Linked DNA regions of Anolis sagrei. The protein of the gene in region 1 binds, or shares a complex with, the protein of each later gene. Links are inferred from orthologs where the notes say so. Each region holds a gene or a part of one and is shown on either strand. Other genes may lie near its edges.

The links. Proteins that work in one complex are often made in the same cells at the same time.
Region 2: the proteins of ACTL7A (region 1) and TES are in contact, whole or in part, in a crystal structure (PDB 2XQN), measured with the Homo sapiens proteins. The link is inferred for Anolis sagrei from reciprocal best matches to the Homo sapiens genes ACTL7A and TES. Residues at the interface, in NP_006678.1 of Homo sapiens: Leu28, Gln29, Thr30, Ala31, Ser32, Leu33, Arg34, Asp35, Gly36, Pro37, Ala38, Lys39, Arg40, Ala41, Val42, Trp43, Val44, Arg45, His46; in NP_056456.1 of Homo sapiens: Asn311, Glu312, Tyr313, Thr314, Gln315, Ala316, Glu317, Leu323, Phe326, Leu335, Ala336, Gly337, Glu338, Ile339, Tyr340, Val341, Tyr353, Pro370, Glu371, Val372, Gln373, Arg374, Val375, Thr376, Tyr377, Ala384, Phe389, Leu398, Ile399, Gly400.

The regions. Positions count from the first base shown.
Region 1 is NC_090022.1:150,570,667-150,578,199, reverse strand, and holds ACTL7A (actin-like protein 7A), read right to left. Parts: upstream 2,679-7,533; 5' UTR 1,911-2,678; coding exon 687-1,910; 3' UTR 509-686; downstream 1-508. Other genes in the region: APTX (aprataxin), read right to left, coding at 4,718-4,872, 5,638-5,741, 7,351-7,533. UniProt on the Homo sapiens protein: Essential for normal spermatogenesis and male fertility. Required for normal sperm head morphology, acroplaxome formation, acrosome attachment, and acrosome granule stability.
Region 2 is NC_090025.1:131,546,237-131,553,889, reverse strand, and holds the start of TES (testin), read left to right. Parts: upstream 1-4,581; 5' UTR 4,582-4,754; coding exon 4,755-4,781; intron 4,782-7,653. UniProt on the Homo sapiens protein: Scaffold protein that may play a role in cell adhesion, cell spreading and in the reorganization of the actin cytoskeleton. Plays a role in the regulation of cell proliferation. May act as a tumor suppressor. Inhibits tumor cell growth.

The DNA of each region.
Region 1 (7,533 bases):
CAATCATGTACTTTGCATGTAATTGGATTGATATGCAAAGTTCCTGTATGCTGAATACATGAAGTTTGTGAATAAACCAACTAAGTTACTTTTAAAGAAGTCTATTTTTGGGTTGTTGTAGGTTTTTCGGGCTATATGGCCATGTTCTAGAAGCAGTCTTTGCTGATGTTTCACCTGCATCTATCGCAAGCATCATCAGAGGTTTATTTTTGTCTCTTGAGAGCATGATTTAAAGGCAAATATATTTTAAGGGAGAATAGATGTTTTTGGGCAACTAAAAAAACACTTCTGAAACTCTGCTGTATGTGTGTATAATATATATACACAGAAAGCAGAGTAAGAGAGCAACTTTGCACGTCCTTTGAAATGTCAGCTATATATATGGGAGTTAGTCAATGAGAAACATTTATAAAGGATAACAAGATAAAAAAGGCCTTACCCATACACACCTGTACTCGATGCCACTTACTTCAAAAAATGGGAAACCACTTTGTTAACACTGTGCAACTACAACAAGGAGCTTTTAATAGTGGGAGAACAGCAAGGAAACCATTACTAGTGTTCACAGACCAAGTTATATTTTGGTAGGTAAAGCTGAAAAAGAAAGTGTGAGCCTTCTCAGATTATTCCAGATCTAGTTAAGCAGGTTTTGGCTGCAAGGAACAGACTCAAGATATCTTAGGAGCTCAGAAACATTTCCTGTAAATGTAAAAAGGGCCCCGCTCTTCATATTCTCTCCTGTGAACCCAGAGCTGTTGGAACGCTTTGAGGGATGCCAGGATGGAGCCTCCGGTCCATACTGACGTTTTCCTTTCAGGGGAAGCCGATGAAATGGGATTATCATTTGGACACATTCGAACAAGCTCTCTCTGGAAGCGGTCAGCAAAGCCCTTGATCATGGTGCAGCCCCCACACAACAGGATGTTGCCCATCAGGTTCTTTTTGAGGGCAACATCACATTTATTCAGAGACGTCATGGTCAGGAGAGGAAGCCCCAGCTGTTGGGAGTTTACCATGGAGGGCTTGAAGAGTATTTCCGTACATGCAAATCTTTCTTTGCCAATAATGATGGTTTGCCCATCAGGAAGTTCATATTCAATCTCATGCTTCCTAGAAGGCGCAGCTGCATCCTGTGGATAATCCAGTGAAGTGAAGCAATAGTTCTCTTTGATATCTTCCAAGACACGCCAATCCTTCTCCGTGAACAATTTCACAGAATGGTTTAAGAGATTCATCAATTGCTGAGTGACATTCGACCCAGCATAATCCACCCTTTCAGTAATGTTAGGCAAAGTATAGCCTTCATAAATGGGAACCACATAAGAAACACCATGGCCACTCTCCACGACAAGGCCAGATGTCTTTCCATAGGAATACATCGACAATCTAGACTGGTAAGCAATGTGCATGGCTGGGGTGTTAAAGGTTTCAAAGAGCATTTCTGCATACTTTTCTCTGTTGGTGGTCGGACTCAGCGGAGGATCCGATATTAAAACTGCATGTTCCTCAGGCCGAATCTTCATTTCCTCATGGAAAAGATATTCCCATATGTCCTGAATGGTATCCCAGTCCACTATGATTCCATGTACCAAAGGGTTGACAAGCTTCAGGGGTATTGTTGCATCTGCAAGTTCTCTGCCAACAAAGGTTTCTTTCCTATTATCACCTGTTTTTGCAGTCTCCTGGAGATGCTTACCTACAGTAGATGAAACCACATGGGTTGGCTTTGGTTCTCCTGCAAACCCACATTTGCAAGAGCCAGTACCAATATCTATGACAACTGCTCTGGTTTCTTTCACTATCCTTCTTGGAGCTGAATCTTTCTCCTCTCTGTGTTTGCTGCTGGGCTTGAATACTGTTCTTTTCTTTGATGGCACAGATCCAAAACTTGCATTCCCTCTTACCGACATTTTGTCTCCAGGTCCTCATTTAAATCCCATCTCTGTATACTGATCGCTAGGTCAAATGGCAGGAAATATCAGAACCTTCAGAAAACAAAGGCTCTATACTGTGACATCATCTATGATGCAGCCCTAGGCAGAAAATGGCTAGTCACAGGAAAACTGTACTTTCTGGGGCTCTCCTAGGCTGAAATTTAAATTACTGAGTATGAATTAGATGCATGCTGTGAACTCAAGTATCAAAGCAAACAATATCTGGTAGTTACCGGATTGTTTTCTGGCCTATTAAGTGATGCTGTGGATTATCCTTAGTAATACATTTTAAAACTGTGTCTCAAAAGGTCAGCTTTCCTCCATCCTTAAGTACCTTTGCTCTCTTTCCAGAAGTGTAGCAGGTAAATTCGGTAACAGGGTTTATGGGGAAGAGGAGTGTCAAAAGCCTATTTGAGGATTGCTAATATTGACCAAAATTCCATTGCCAGTGCCAGCTACAGTAAACCCATTGGGCCTCTAACAATTCCTCTATCATGCTCCATGTAATTAGCCCTAGGACCAGGAGTCAGACATAATTTATATAATGAAAGGTGACAGATTCACCCACAACAAATTGTATTGGGGTGCAATTTCAATACCAGGTGTTGAATTCAATGCCAGCTGAGAACTTCATGTTTTGCAGGATTTCAGCAAGGGAGGAGAGAGAGGGGAGAAAGAATGTAGTATCTATTTACAGTTTAGAAAGATCTATGATATTCAGCACAAGACTTGGATATGCCTCACATTATGGTGCTTTTGACACATTGGTTGAGAAGACAGATTTGATTAGCCATGTTGTTGTCAAGTAGACTTCTTATGGTTAAGTGGGCTTATGGTGGCTTGAAGAGTTGCTTCTCATCTTTTCTTGTTTTTCAACATCTACAGAAAAGTACTGGGAAGTAAGGAGCAGGGGTGTTTAATGTAATTGATTTGATGGTGCTAAATCAGCTCTCTGCTATCTTTCTTCCAAGGAGGGTAGTGGAAATGCTAAGCTGGTGCCTGAGGTGAGTGAAAGTCTGAGTGTGCATAATAAGATTAAGCTCAATGAATGTGAATTGGTCTGTTGGAAGCTGAGGGTTCCATAAGGTTCCACTAAATCAAGTTTGCCACTTCAGGCAACTCTTGAGGCCCAGCTCTTCTTCTCAATGTTCAGGTGACAGCTGTGGGCAGAAGTACTCTTTCTCCTTTTTGGCTCATGTGCCAGTTATGCCACTTTTGAGAGGAAGTAGATCTAGCCATGCTATTGGCACATACTGTAGTCACCTTGAGATAATGTACTATGCATGGAAGTTCCTTCAGCAATGGCAACACAGAGCAGCCTTGTTGTTGAGTGGGTTGGTCCCTTGGCTCATGTGAATCAACAGCACTATTGGTTACAGCCCTTTATAATCCTACTTGCCCTTTGAGATCAACTGGAAAATCTCTTTTATGCATCCTGGCTGTGATGTATAAGAAAGTCTCCTCTGTGGTGACTCCCAGCTGTGCAACCCCCATGTTTCCAAAGAGCCATCTGCTTATCTTCTGTTTGTTGTTATTTCACCTACTGCGTTAGACACTTCAGTTCCAGGAAGCATTTATATGTCATATTCTCTGTTCCAGTCTTGCATTCTAATGTTGAGTACATTTCAGGGACACAAAGCTTCGTATGTATAAACAGGACTGATGGCTAACAGTACTTTATGAATGTCTATCCAGAAGGATGTCAAATCATTTGATTCCAGTAGACTTTACTTTTGGGATAAATGTACATAGTATCACATAACCTACATAACAGAGATACTCTGACTGGGATTTAGGAATGTATTCACGCACGAAACGATTTAACAATTCCTATTTGCCTGAGTGAAGCAAGGCCTTTTGTTATCCGACTTAGCCACGGGGCAAGATTGTTGTGAGGATAAAACAGAGAGCACTTTTCTGTGGCATCTTGAACTTCCGTGGAAGAATAACTTTATTTAAATAACTTTATTTTTGTACCCCTCCTCCATCTCCCTGAAGGGACTCGGGGCAGCTTACATATGGCAGAATGTGCCTAAAATAACACATAAAATAAACACACAATACAAGATAAAACCAATAACATATAAAACAAAGTTTAAACTCAAAACAGCACCCAATAACCTATGATGATAACATTTAAATGGCATTCAAGAGGCCCCACTCAGACACCCCATTACCATTTATTCAGCACAAACTCACACCAAGTACGATAGGTGTAGGATATGAACTGGCATCCAAGCTTTAGCCAAGATCTTAAGTCAGAAATCATTATGTGTCTCACATTCATAGTGGCTGCTTTGAAACAGGTACAGAAATAAAGCCACGGATCAAATCTGAATTGCAGAAGGGGATACTAAATATTTCTAATACTAATATTTCAATCTGACAGATTTCAGGCAAAATACAATCTGTTTACTCCTGCAAATACATGCAGCAAATCGAATACCAACTTGCTATTGGGTAACCAAAAATAAACAGAGAATGCCAAATGGACAAATTTAAACCCAGACTGCATTTCAGTTAGCCCTCTAAATATAAAATGGCTTATTTATGCTAACTGCACACCATGTGTTAGAGATGAAGGTTTACAGATGCAAAAGATAAAGCATTGCCTCTTGTACAATAAGTCCTCATCCTGCCTATGTCCACCTGAAAAACAACCACCTGTGGTTTGTCACACTAAGCTGGATGTTATAGCAATACTCACATTTTGGTGTATTTAATAAGACAGTGTAATAAGGTATCCAGATTAATGTTTGAACAAAGGAATAGATTAGGACAGATCATTTTGGCCAATGTTCCTTAAGATGTTCCTTTAACTGAGGGATAGTTGGAAGCTGTTGTTTGCATACATGACACTTTAGAGGTAGTTTCAAGAGTGCGGATGCATTCTTATCTACAATTACTCTTCTTTTCGTCTTCACCATCTTAATTACATCTGAATGGGAATGGGGAGAAGGAAACTTCAGATTAAAGTTCAGCAATAGTCATGCCTTTGAAAGTTATATGACTCAGCTGTCAAAACATTACCTTAACACAGAGTGTTGGTTTAGGACTGAAATTCCCACAATCCATCACCAGTGACTTTGGTGATTGGGTCAGATAGGGATTATAAGCCAAAAATATCTGAAAGTTGATTTGCCAAATGCTAGCACAGAGAAACTGTTCTCCCCCAATGTGCATGGTAAGAAATGAAATCTCTTATTATTAATCTCTTATTACAAACAGTTCCTTTTACCAGTAGCAATATATTTTTTAAAATTGTGCTCTTGAGCAATGTGCCCCAAATATACAGTAGTGCAGAAACATACTCTTACCCAAATTTATACTGAAGGGACAATCTAACTCTGTTCTAGAAAAATTATATAAAACCAGATAAAACTATATATCACAGTAGCAGCATATTTAGTTAGTTAGGTCACAGTGTTCATATACAAAATGAGGGGATTATGCCATCTAAACTGTCCCCTCACTTACTATCCCCCAGTTACTTTCTCCCACCTTGGTATTAGTACCATAAAAGGACTGTCAGAAAAATGCCTCTTTCAACATTAAAAGCAAACCCAAACTTCACATGTGGCTAATGCAAACTTAAGATTAGAATGCTGTCACACAAAAGACAGGGGGGGAGGGGGGACTAAAATCAAAAGAAAAAAAAGGTTATGAGTAACTTTAAAATATATTTAAAAAGAGATGTCCTAACCTTTGGAATCTATGAAGTATTCTGTGGTAAAGGAATTCCAGTGCTTCTTGGTTTTGAAGCATTCAGAATCAAAATCCTGACTGATAACATGAAGATGGAGGTGGCTGAGAAGAGAGAAAAAACACAGAACTATTGTATTGTCTTACTAGAAAGGAGGAGTATGCTATCTGTGGCTCTCTAAATGTTAAGATGCAAATCTCCCCATTCCTCACCATCAGCTATGCTATTCAGGAGTAATGGTGTAGAACTCCAGCTATGTCTAGACAACTACAAATTGACCATCTGGTGATCAAGGGACAAAATACAAAATGTTAAAGGCAGCCAAAATACCCAGGAAGTTGTTGGGTCCTTCACTGTCAAGAGATAAAATCACCCTTAATTTTATGAGCAGCTCCGCAACAACTGGTTCAAATTGTACTGGAGCTTTCATGAACCTCATTCCAAACACAGATTGATCACTGGACAGATCTTGAACAATCTGGAGCAGCTGAGGTGGGACAATAAAAGACCCATCCTTGCCAGGACTGTTCTGCTCTAAGGCAGTTTCTATACACCCCAGGACAGCTGTGGAAAAGCCAACATTAAAACCAAGGGCAAATTCATCACTCCACAGTAATGGAGCCACCAACCAGCTCTTTGTGGCACAACGAGTAGGAGCTGATTGGTGAGCTTTTGGCAGAAGCAGACTGTTAGGGAAAACTACCCTAAAATATAGCAGAGCATCCAAAAATCAAACAGGATACAAAAAGTTGAGCATCAGCTCATTAGCTAGCAGAGCGTGAAGTGCCATGTGATGTGGCTGTAAAGAATTCGGAGCTTAGGAGGCAAACATGCAGAGTTCAATCTTTAAAAAATCACAAAAGGTTTATTTACAATAATAAGAATAACTGCATTTCTTAATAAACAAGAACTGGGTCTGAACTACTCTAACACCCATCTCTTCTAAGGCTTCAAAGGGAGGGAAAAAAACACCAATCACTACATTTTTCTTGAGACACAAGCAGAGAGAGATCTCAAAGCACACAGCACATACTCTCCATAATAAAGTGTGAGAAAGCAGAAGTCAAATTCAAAAAGACTTGCAGTAGAAAAGTATCCATTTTAAACAACCAATCAGAATGAGATGAGTGAGGAAATAAATAGATTCCCGACTGTCATTCAAGAGACATGGTGTAAGGGAAACCCTTAGTCCAGGGGTCCTCAAACTTTTTAAACCGTGGGCCAGTCATAGTCTCTCAAATTGTTGGAGGGCCGGATTATAATTTGAAAAAAGCATGAATGAATTCCTATGCACACTGCACATATCTTATTTGCAGTGCAAAAAAACCCACTTAAAAACAATACAATAATTAAATGAAGAACAATTTTGACAAATATAAACTTATTAGTATTTCAATGGGAAGTGTGGGCCTGCTCTTGACTGATGAGATAGGATTGTTGTTGTTGTGTACTTTCTAGTTGTTTCAGACTTAGGTTGACCTTGAGAGAGGGTAAATAACCTTGGAGGGCAGTATTTGGCCCTTGGGCCTTAGTTTGAGGACCCCTGCCTTAGTTTATACTAAGCTAACTAAACTGTTCCTCATTGAGGACTGTGTTGAATTCCAACACAGACTAGGACCGATCAATCACAAGAATTATCTTTACAGTTCCTACTGGGGCAAATATCTATGTTCCACATGGCACAAACTCAATCTGAACACAATTATACATTACCTCATGCTAGGAATAGCATGGTAGCCCAGTCTAAAGCGCAGCTGATCTTTCTGAGGACACTGCTCGATTATCTTTTCTCCAACAGTGTGCATGTGTTCCAAGAGTTCAAGGTGCTCCTGAGTTACGGCACTTAAGGTAGGGATGGAATGCCATGGTAGCACTAGCCAGTGAAAACGAGCCTTT
Region 2 (7,653 bases), on another chromosome or scaffold:
TAAAAACAATCAGTCTGTAGTCTGTGAACTCCAGGAGTGGCTGGTTCTGTAGTAGAGAGCACCAGGAAGGTAGACTATAGTTTAAAAACTACAGGGAAAGGCTGATTCTACTGTAGTGAGAATCAGGAAGGTTTCGGCTTTTAACCTAGGTAGTTTAGATAAGTCTAGTTGACTTATTTATATTAGTAGTTAGTGTGTGAGTAAAAAGGGGGAGAGAAACCCAGTGAGAATCTTTATTACAACAGAAATATCACAAAGAAAGAATAAGCTTGTATCGGAAGTAATCTATTAAAGAAAGAAACACAGTTTGAAGAAAAATAAGTTTGAAACCTGTTTAGTAGAAGAGTCCTTTCCAGAGTTGTTTTAAGGAATGTTATAAATGTAACCTCTGAAGATATGTGCCTCTAAGAGTCAAGAAACATTGAAACCATCAAGCTTCTGCTACATTTCAATAAACTTGTTACAGTTTATTATAAAGCCCGGTCTCTGTTACAAATCCTTTCCAAGTTAAGTCACGCTACACATTGAAGAAAGACCAAATCAATATTATTAGCTATTAGCTATGCTAACAATTTGATAAGCCCATACAAACTGGTGGCTTCTTCACAAAGTGGTGGCATCTACGTTACACACCTTAAATGGGTCACATTGGGAGCCATTGCTGTCCAAGACTGTTGCCATCATGTCATTGTGGAGGAGCCGCTAGATGTTCACAAATTTGTCAGGGCACCCGATTTTTTAGAGGATGGCCCAGAGAGAACTGTGATTCACTGTGTCAAATGCCTTTGCAAGGTTAATGAATACCATGTACAGAGGTTGATTTTGTTCCCTGCATTTTTCTTGAAGCTGTTGTGCAGTGAAGATCATGTCCACTGTTCCTCTGGAGGGCCGGAAGCCATTCTGGGATTCTGGAAGGGTGTCTTCCGAGAGAGGTAGAAGGTGGTTTGCAAGGATTCTTGCAAGGAATTTCCCAGTGGAGGCTAGAAGGGTGATACCTTCATAGGGTGATGATGGCTAGCTCTGGCCCTTGAGCACTCTAGCTGGAGGTCAGCTGTGACCAGCAATGTTGTAGAATTTGAAGAGGCACAAATGGAGGGCGAAAGAGAGAAATGTGACAAGAGGAAGGCGCGTCTGGGACCACCTTCCATCGGGAAACTGATTCCTTCACTTCAGGATAACATGCAGGTCAAGAATAGGACTCCTCAGTCACCTACGTACCCACCGCCAGGACACCGCACTTGGAGGACAATCTTACTCGGACAATGTGGGGTCACCTAAGTAAGTAAGTACACTGGCTACATAAGGTGGTTTGAAGATAGCTTGACAGCACAGTGTTTAATTGACGTATGCCATGAACACACACAGCAATGCACATTAAAGACTTTAAACGAGGATAAGCAAAGTTGGGGGATATTCTGAAAGAGTGCCCATAATGCACACAAGTGTGCCTAAGTATGGACATAGTATGGGAATGTTTTTAATGTAAGCTGCTTTGAGTCTCCTTGTGGAGAAAAAAGCAGTGTATAAATAAACATAATAATCATAAGAACAATAATAAGTGTAATTGGTGAAACCAAATAAAGAACATAATTTCTATATGGCTGTCAAGCTGCAGATACTGAGATCCTGGATCAGTTTTGAAGCCAGTCTCTGCAATGTGTCAGCACCATCCAGGCTTTGAACCAATTCCAAGACAACATGCAGTCATTTGCACAGTGAAATTGCTTTCTTCTCTGCTCATTTCATATAAACCTAAGTGTCCAGTGTAGCAGTATCCTTCAAGGGAATGAGAAAAAGTCCCAGTAACCACCAAATACAATTTGTTGCCTAAGGCAGAGCATCAAAGATGAGGTCTAGCAGGTCAGGTAACTGCTAGAGGTTAGTTCAAAGACTCTGGTGGATTTGCAGGTGCCTATCCCTTTATATGTAGTGGCGCAGTACAATAGTATCACTTATAAAATAACAAAAATCAAGGTTTGCTCTTTGGATATCATAATATTTTCCAACCATGGATGATGGAATCTGTGGTTGCAGAATTTGTGAATACAAAAAGGGCCAAACCTACCAAAACAAGTCAGAAAATCTCATCCATGCCTTTCTCCATCTCTGGCAGCTAAAGCAGATTAGGCAGGGAGAGAGACCCAATAATAACAAATGAAGTAATCACAATTTTCTGGCCTTACATCATGAGCCAAAACCTTCCGGCCAAGGCTTCTGTCTCACTCTGCCTAACAGCAGGGCCGGCCTGGAAAAGCTAAATGGCTTTGACAGCCATTCCAAGGCCTCAGTTTTGTTTCATTTCCCGGAGGCAGCTGGAAAGTAAAGCAAACAACATGTAGAAAATGACGATATGAAAAATGACAAAGGCGGGAGGGAAATGGGGAGAGATTTCATTTCCTACATGCCATAAATCACTGGATGTTCAGGAGCCCTTTATGAATCGAGGGGGATTATCTACGACTCATGGGCCATTGGCTCACGGCAATTGTTATAAATGGCTCTCATTTTCCCTCCCATGGCCCTCAGGAAAGGCAGAGAGAAATGGAGACAAATCTTCCTGAAGTTAATTGCCTGAGCCTTGTGCCTGCGTCAGCAAATACCTTTGCAGTGACCTTATCAGATGCCTCCTTCATTACGAATGGCTCTCAAGGTGCATCTGCACTGCAGAATGGATGCAGTTTGACGTCACTTCAACAGCCATGGCTCAGTGATATGGAATCCTGGGAGCTTCTGTTTTTACAAGGTCTTTAGCCTTCACTGTCAAAGAGTCCTAGTGCTTCACCAAACTTGGAATGGCTTTACACTGCAGCATTAATGCAGTTTGACACCACTTTAATGGGTCAATGCTATAGAATTGTGAGAGTTGTAGTTTTGGCGAGGCAGCAGCACTCTAGCAGAAAGAGCTAAAGACCTTGCAAAGCTACACATCCTGGGGTTCCATGGCATTTAGCCATGACATTTCAAATAGCATCAAACCGCATTAATTCTACTGTGCAGATCTACTCTCAGAAGGATCTACAAAAGACCCAGCTGGAAAAAACAGAGGGGCCAATGCATCTACACTGTTAGGCTGGATCTACACTGCCATATAATCCAAATTATCAGAGTAGATAATGCACATTATGTGCTTTGAACTAGATTATATATACACTGCAATATAATCCACATTATCAAAGCAGATGATGCACATTATGTGCTTCGAACTGGATTATACGAGTCTACACTGCTATATGAGCCTGTTCAAAGCAGGTAATCTGGATTTTATATGGCTGTGTAGATCCAGCCTTAGAATGCATGCACTCTGATACCACTTGCCATGGCTCAAGGTTTATGGAATCCTAGAGGAGTTATAGTTCGCTGAGGAGCCAACTCTTTGGTAGGGAAAGGGCTAAAGACTACAACTCCCAGGATTCCAGACTTGAGGCAGGGCAGTCAAAGGCCCCTTCTACACTACCATATATATATTATCAAAGCAAATAATCCACGTTATCTGCTTTGAACTGGATGATATCTGGCCAGGTCACAGTCCCTCAAACTGCTGGAGGGCCGGATTATAATTTGAAAAAAAGAAAAGAATTGATTCCTATGCACACCGCACATATCTTATTTGTAGTGCAAGAAACCACTTAAAAGCAATATAATTAAAATGAAGAACAATTTTAACAAATATAAATTTATTGGTATTTCAATGGGAAGTGTGGGCCTGCTTTTGGCTGATACGATAGGGTGTTGTTGTGTGCTTTCAATTAATTTCAGACTTAGATTGACCCTGAGCGAGGGCCAGATAAATGACTTTGGAGGGCCATATCTGGCCCTCAGGCCTTAGTTTGAGGATCACTGGTCTAGATGGCCATATAATCCTGCTCAAATCAGATAATCTGGATTTTAGATGGCAGTGTAGAAGGGGCCAAAATGGTGTCAAAGGCCCCTTCCACACAGCTGAATAAAATCCCACATTTCTGCTTGGAACTGGAATATATGACAGTGTGAATTCAGATTACTGGGGGCCCTTCCACACAGCCCTATATCCCAGAATATTGATGCAGATAATCCCACATTATCTGAGTGTGGACTCAGATAACCTAGTTCACAGCAGATATTGTGGGATTTTCTGCCTTGATATGTTGGGATATAGGGCTGTGTGGAAGGGCCATGAGTTATCTAAATCCACACTCAGATATTGTGGGATTTTCTGCCTTGATATTCCGGGATATAGGGCTGAGAGGAAGGGCCCTCAGATAGCCCAGGGTCCTTCCACACAGCCCTATATCCCAGAATATCAAGGCAAAAAATCCCACAATATCTGCTTTGAACTGGATTATCTGCGTCCACATTCAGAGAATGTGGGATTTTCTGCCTTGATATAGAGCTGTGTGGAAATGTCCAAGCTACATTCCTTCTTATGGTGGAGACTGCTGGTGGCAAATTGCTACTGTATCCCAGTTGGCCCCTCTAGGGAGTCTCTCTCCGGAGCGGGGCAGGAGCAAAAAGGTATTCGGAAGGCGCCGCGATTGGCTGGCGGGCCTTCCCGTGCTGAGCCCTGATTGGCTGCAGCGCTTCCTTTGTTCCTTCCCTCCTCCCCACTGCAGCCGCAGGAGAGCGGAAGAGAGAGAGAGAGAGAGGCGAGGAAGGGGCTGGTCGCAGAGCCGCCTCCGAGGGTCAGGAAGGGAGCAGGAGGGCACAGGGCGAGAAAGCCAAGCAGGCGCCTCTTCCCTCTGCAGTCTCCCCTGGATCCTGCTGGACTCGGAACCAAGATGGATTTGGAAAACACAATGAAGAAGGTAAGGAAGGAAAAAGGAAGGGAGGAAGGGATGGGGAAAGGAGCGAGGAGGCTCCTCGGGGCAGGGAGCTTGTGCTAAGTCACCTGGCTGCGGCGGGCAACGCCCCTGCTGGACCTTTCCTGGCTGCCTTTGGGAAATCCCCAAACTCTCCCTCCTGCTTTCATTGGATGCATCTGCACTTGAAAAGTAATGCAGTTTGATACCGCTTTAACTGCCACGACTCCATGCTTATGGGGGCTTGGCGATTGTCAATTTGACAATTTCAAATTGGGCTGCTATTCTCACAGTAGTTACAAGAGCATAGATTTTCCTCTCAACTCTCCCTCCTGCTTTCATTGGATGCATCTGCACTTGAAAAGTAATGCAGTTTGATACCGCTTTAACTGCCACAGCTCCATGCCTCTCAACAGTATAATTCAGCTGATAAACAGTCTAACTGAGCTGCTGAACTTGCTGACTGAAGAGTCACAGGTTCGAATCCGGGGAGCAGCATGAGCCCCAGCTTCTGCCAACCTAGCAGTTCAAAAACATGCAAATGTGAGTAGATCAATAGATACCGCCTTGGTGGGAAGGTAACGGCGCTCCATGCAGTCAAGCCGGCCACATGACTCTGGAGGTGTCTACGGACAACGCTGGCTCTTTGGCTTAGAAATGGAGATGTGCACCAACCCACAGAGTCGGACACAACTAGGCTTAATGTCAGGGGAAAACCTTTACCTCTACTAGTATAATTTTACAATTTTCCCCTATTATTAAGGGAGGTGTAATAAGAGTTTCTTGGGTTGCAAAGGGCTATTAGCCTTACAAAAGACCTGCTCCTGAAGGACAGAAACTGGTACTGGAGTCAGAAATCTTAGTTTTAGAGTCTTCTGTAGAAGTGCAGGCTATTTGCCATCTAGGAAGTGATCTGTGGATGTGTCTAAACCAGTAGTCCTCAAGAATGAAAAATAACAAGCTGGATGGCCATCTGTCAGGAGTGCTTTGAATGCAATTTTCCTGCTTCTTGGCATGGGGTTGGACTGGATGGCCCATGAGGTCTCTTTCAACTTTATGGTTCTATGGTCCATAGCCTCACCATTACGACACCGTTGCCTTAAAACCACGTGGCAACAAGAGCGACTGGTCTCACAAAACCCTCTTATAGATTATTAAATATGGTTTTCTGTGGACGAGCAGATTGCAACTACTGAATGACAAATGTCCTGTATCAGAAACTAGAGCTGATGTGGTCTCTCCAGTTCAACTTTCTGAATCAGCACCACAAATAACCTAACCAAAACTTAACCAAAAACTGATTCGTAACTCTTTTGGTACTGTTAGAGAGTGGTCCCTGGTCAAAGTGGTCCCTGGTCAAGTAATCCCTGGTCAAAAAAAGGTTGGGAGCCGCTGGTCTAACACTGTAAAATGTATGCAGTTCAACACCATTTTAACTGCAATAGCTCAACACTATGGAATCATGGGAGTTGTAGTTTGATGAGGAACCAGCACTCTTTGGCAGAGAAAGCTAAAGGCCTTGTAAAACTCCCATGATTTCATATCACTGAGCCATGGCAGTTAAAGTGAGGTCAAAAGTACATTATTTCTACAGTGTAGATGCATCTTGTGTTTCTTGTGATGAGTCCTCTCCTTCGTGCCTGTAAGAGAGGCTGTCTGAATCTCTGCATCGCTTTCAAGGTTTAGTCTTCTTTTTATGATATTGCTAAAAGCAGCACAACTCTCAGGCTTTTTGACCTCCACATATGCGGCTTTAATTCTGGATTCGGTTATTCAGATATTCATCCTCTCTAGGAATATCTACATCCTCCAGTGTGACAATTTCTTTATTCGTGACTTCTCACTTTCAGGGGGTCCTTGTGCCCCTAACTCAGGCATGGGCAAACTTCAGCCATCTGGGTGCTTTGGACTTCAACTCCCACAATTCCTAACTGCCTTCCTTTCCCCGGACCATATTTTCATTCTTGTGGACTACTGGTGGTCCACGGACCATAGGTTGGGAAATGAAGGGTCCTGAGGCTGTTAGGAGTTGAAGTCCAAAACACCCAGAGGGCCAAAGTTGCCCATGCCTGCTGCAACTCCAGTGAATGTGAGGACTGTTTCTGTTTACATCTTTTTATTGTGTGTGTATACACACACACACACACACACAGTGTTAATTGTCATACCTACAATCCTAGCCTCTAGTTTATTTTGGATGGAGGCAAGAATGCTTGTGAGCTAACAAATGATTAAAAAGTACCTCTTGGTGGTACCCAATTAGAGATCCCAGAATGGGATCCAGTAGATCACCACCAAGCTTTGATCTAGGGCAGCAGTTCTCAACCTGTGGGTCGCAACTATTCACAGGGAGTTGCTCACTTTGCCTCCTTTGGGTCCAGGTTTCTTTTCTCTCTCCTCCTTTCTCTTCCATTCTTTCTCCCCCTTTCCTTCCCTCTCCTTTTTCTTTCACTTGCCTCCCTCTTTCTCTTCCTTTCTCCAGCCATATATAATTACATATTGTTTTTGTGTTCACTATGCTTGAATTACGTTCCATTTTTACCAACGAAACTACATCCTGCATATCAGAATATTTATGTTATGATTCATAACAGTAGCAAAATTACAGTTATGAAGTAGCAATGAAAATAATGTTATGGTTGGGGGTCACCACAACATGAGGAACTTTATTAAGGAGTTGTGGCATTAGGAAGATTGAGAACCACTGATCTAGGGGATCGAAAACCCTTGGATCCACCACTTCCTACCTCTTGGAATGAAGTGAATTTGTTTCTCTTTCTCTGATTTTCTATATTTTCAAAGAGGGCTTGCAAGATAGATAAGTGGGAGCTGTCAAATTAACAATTGGTAAGCCTCTCTGAGAGTCTTTATGGCTGAA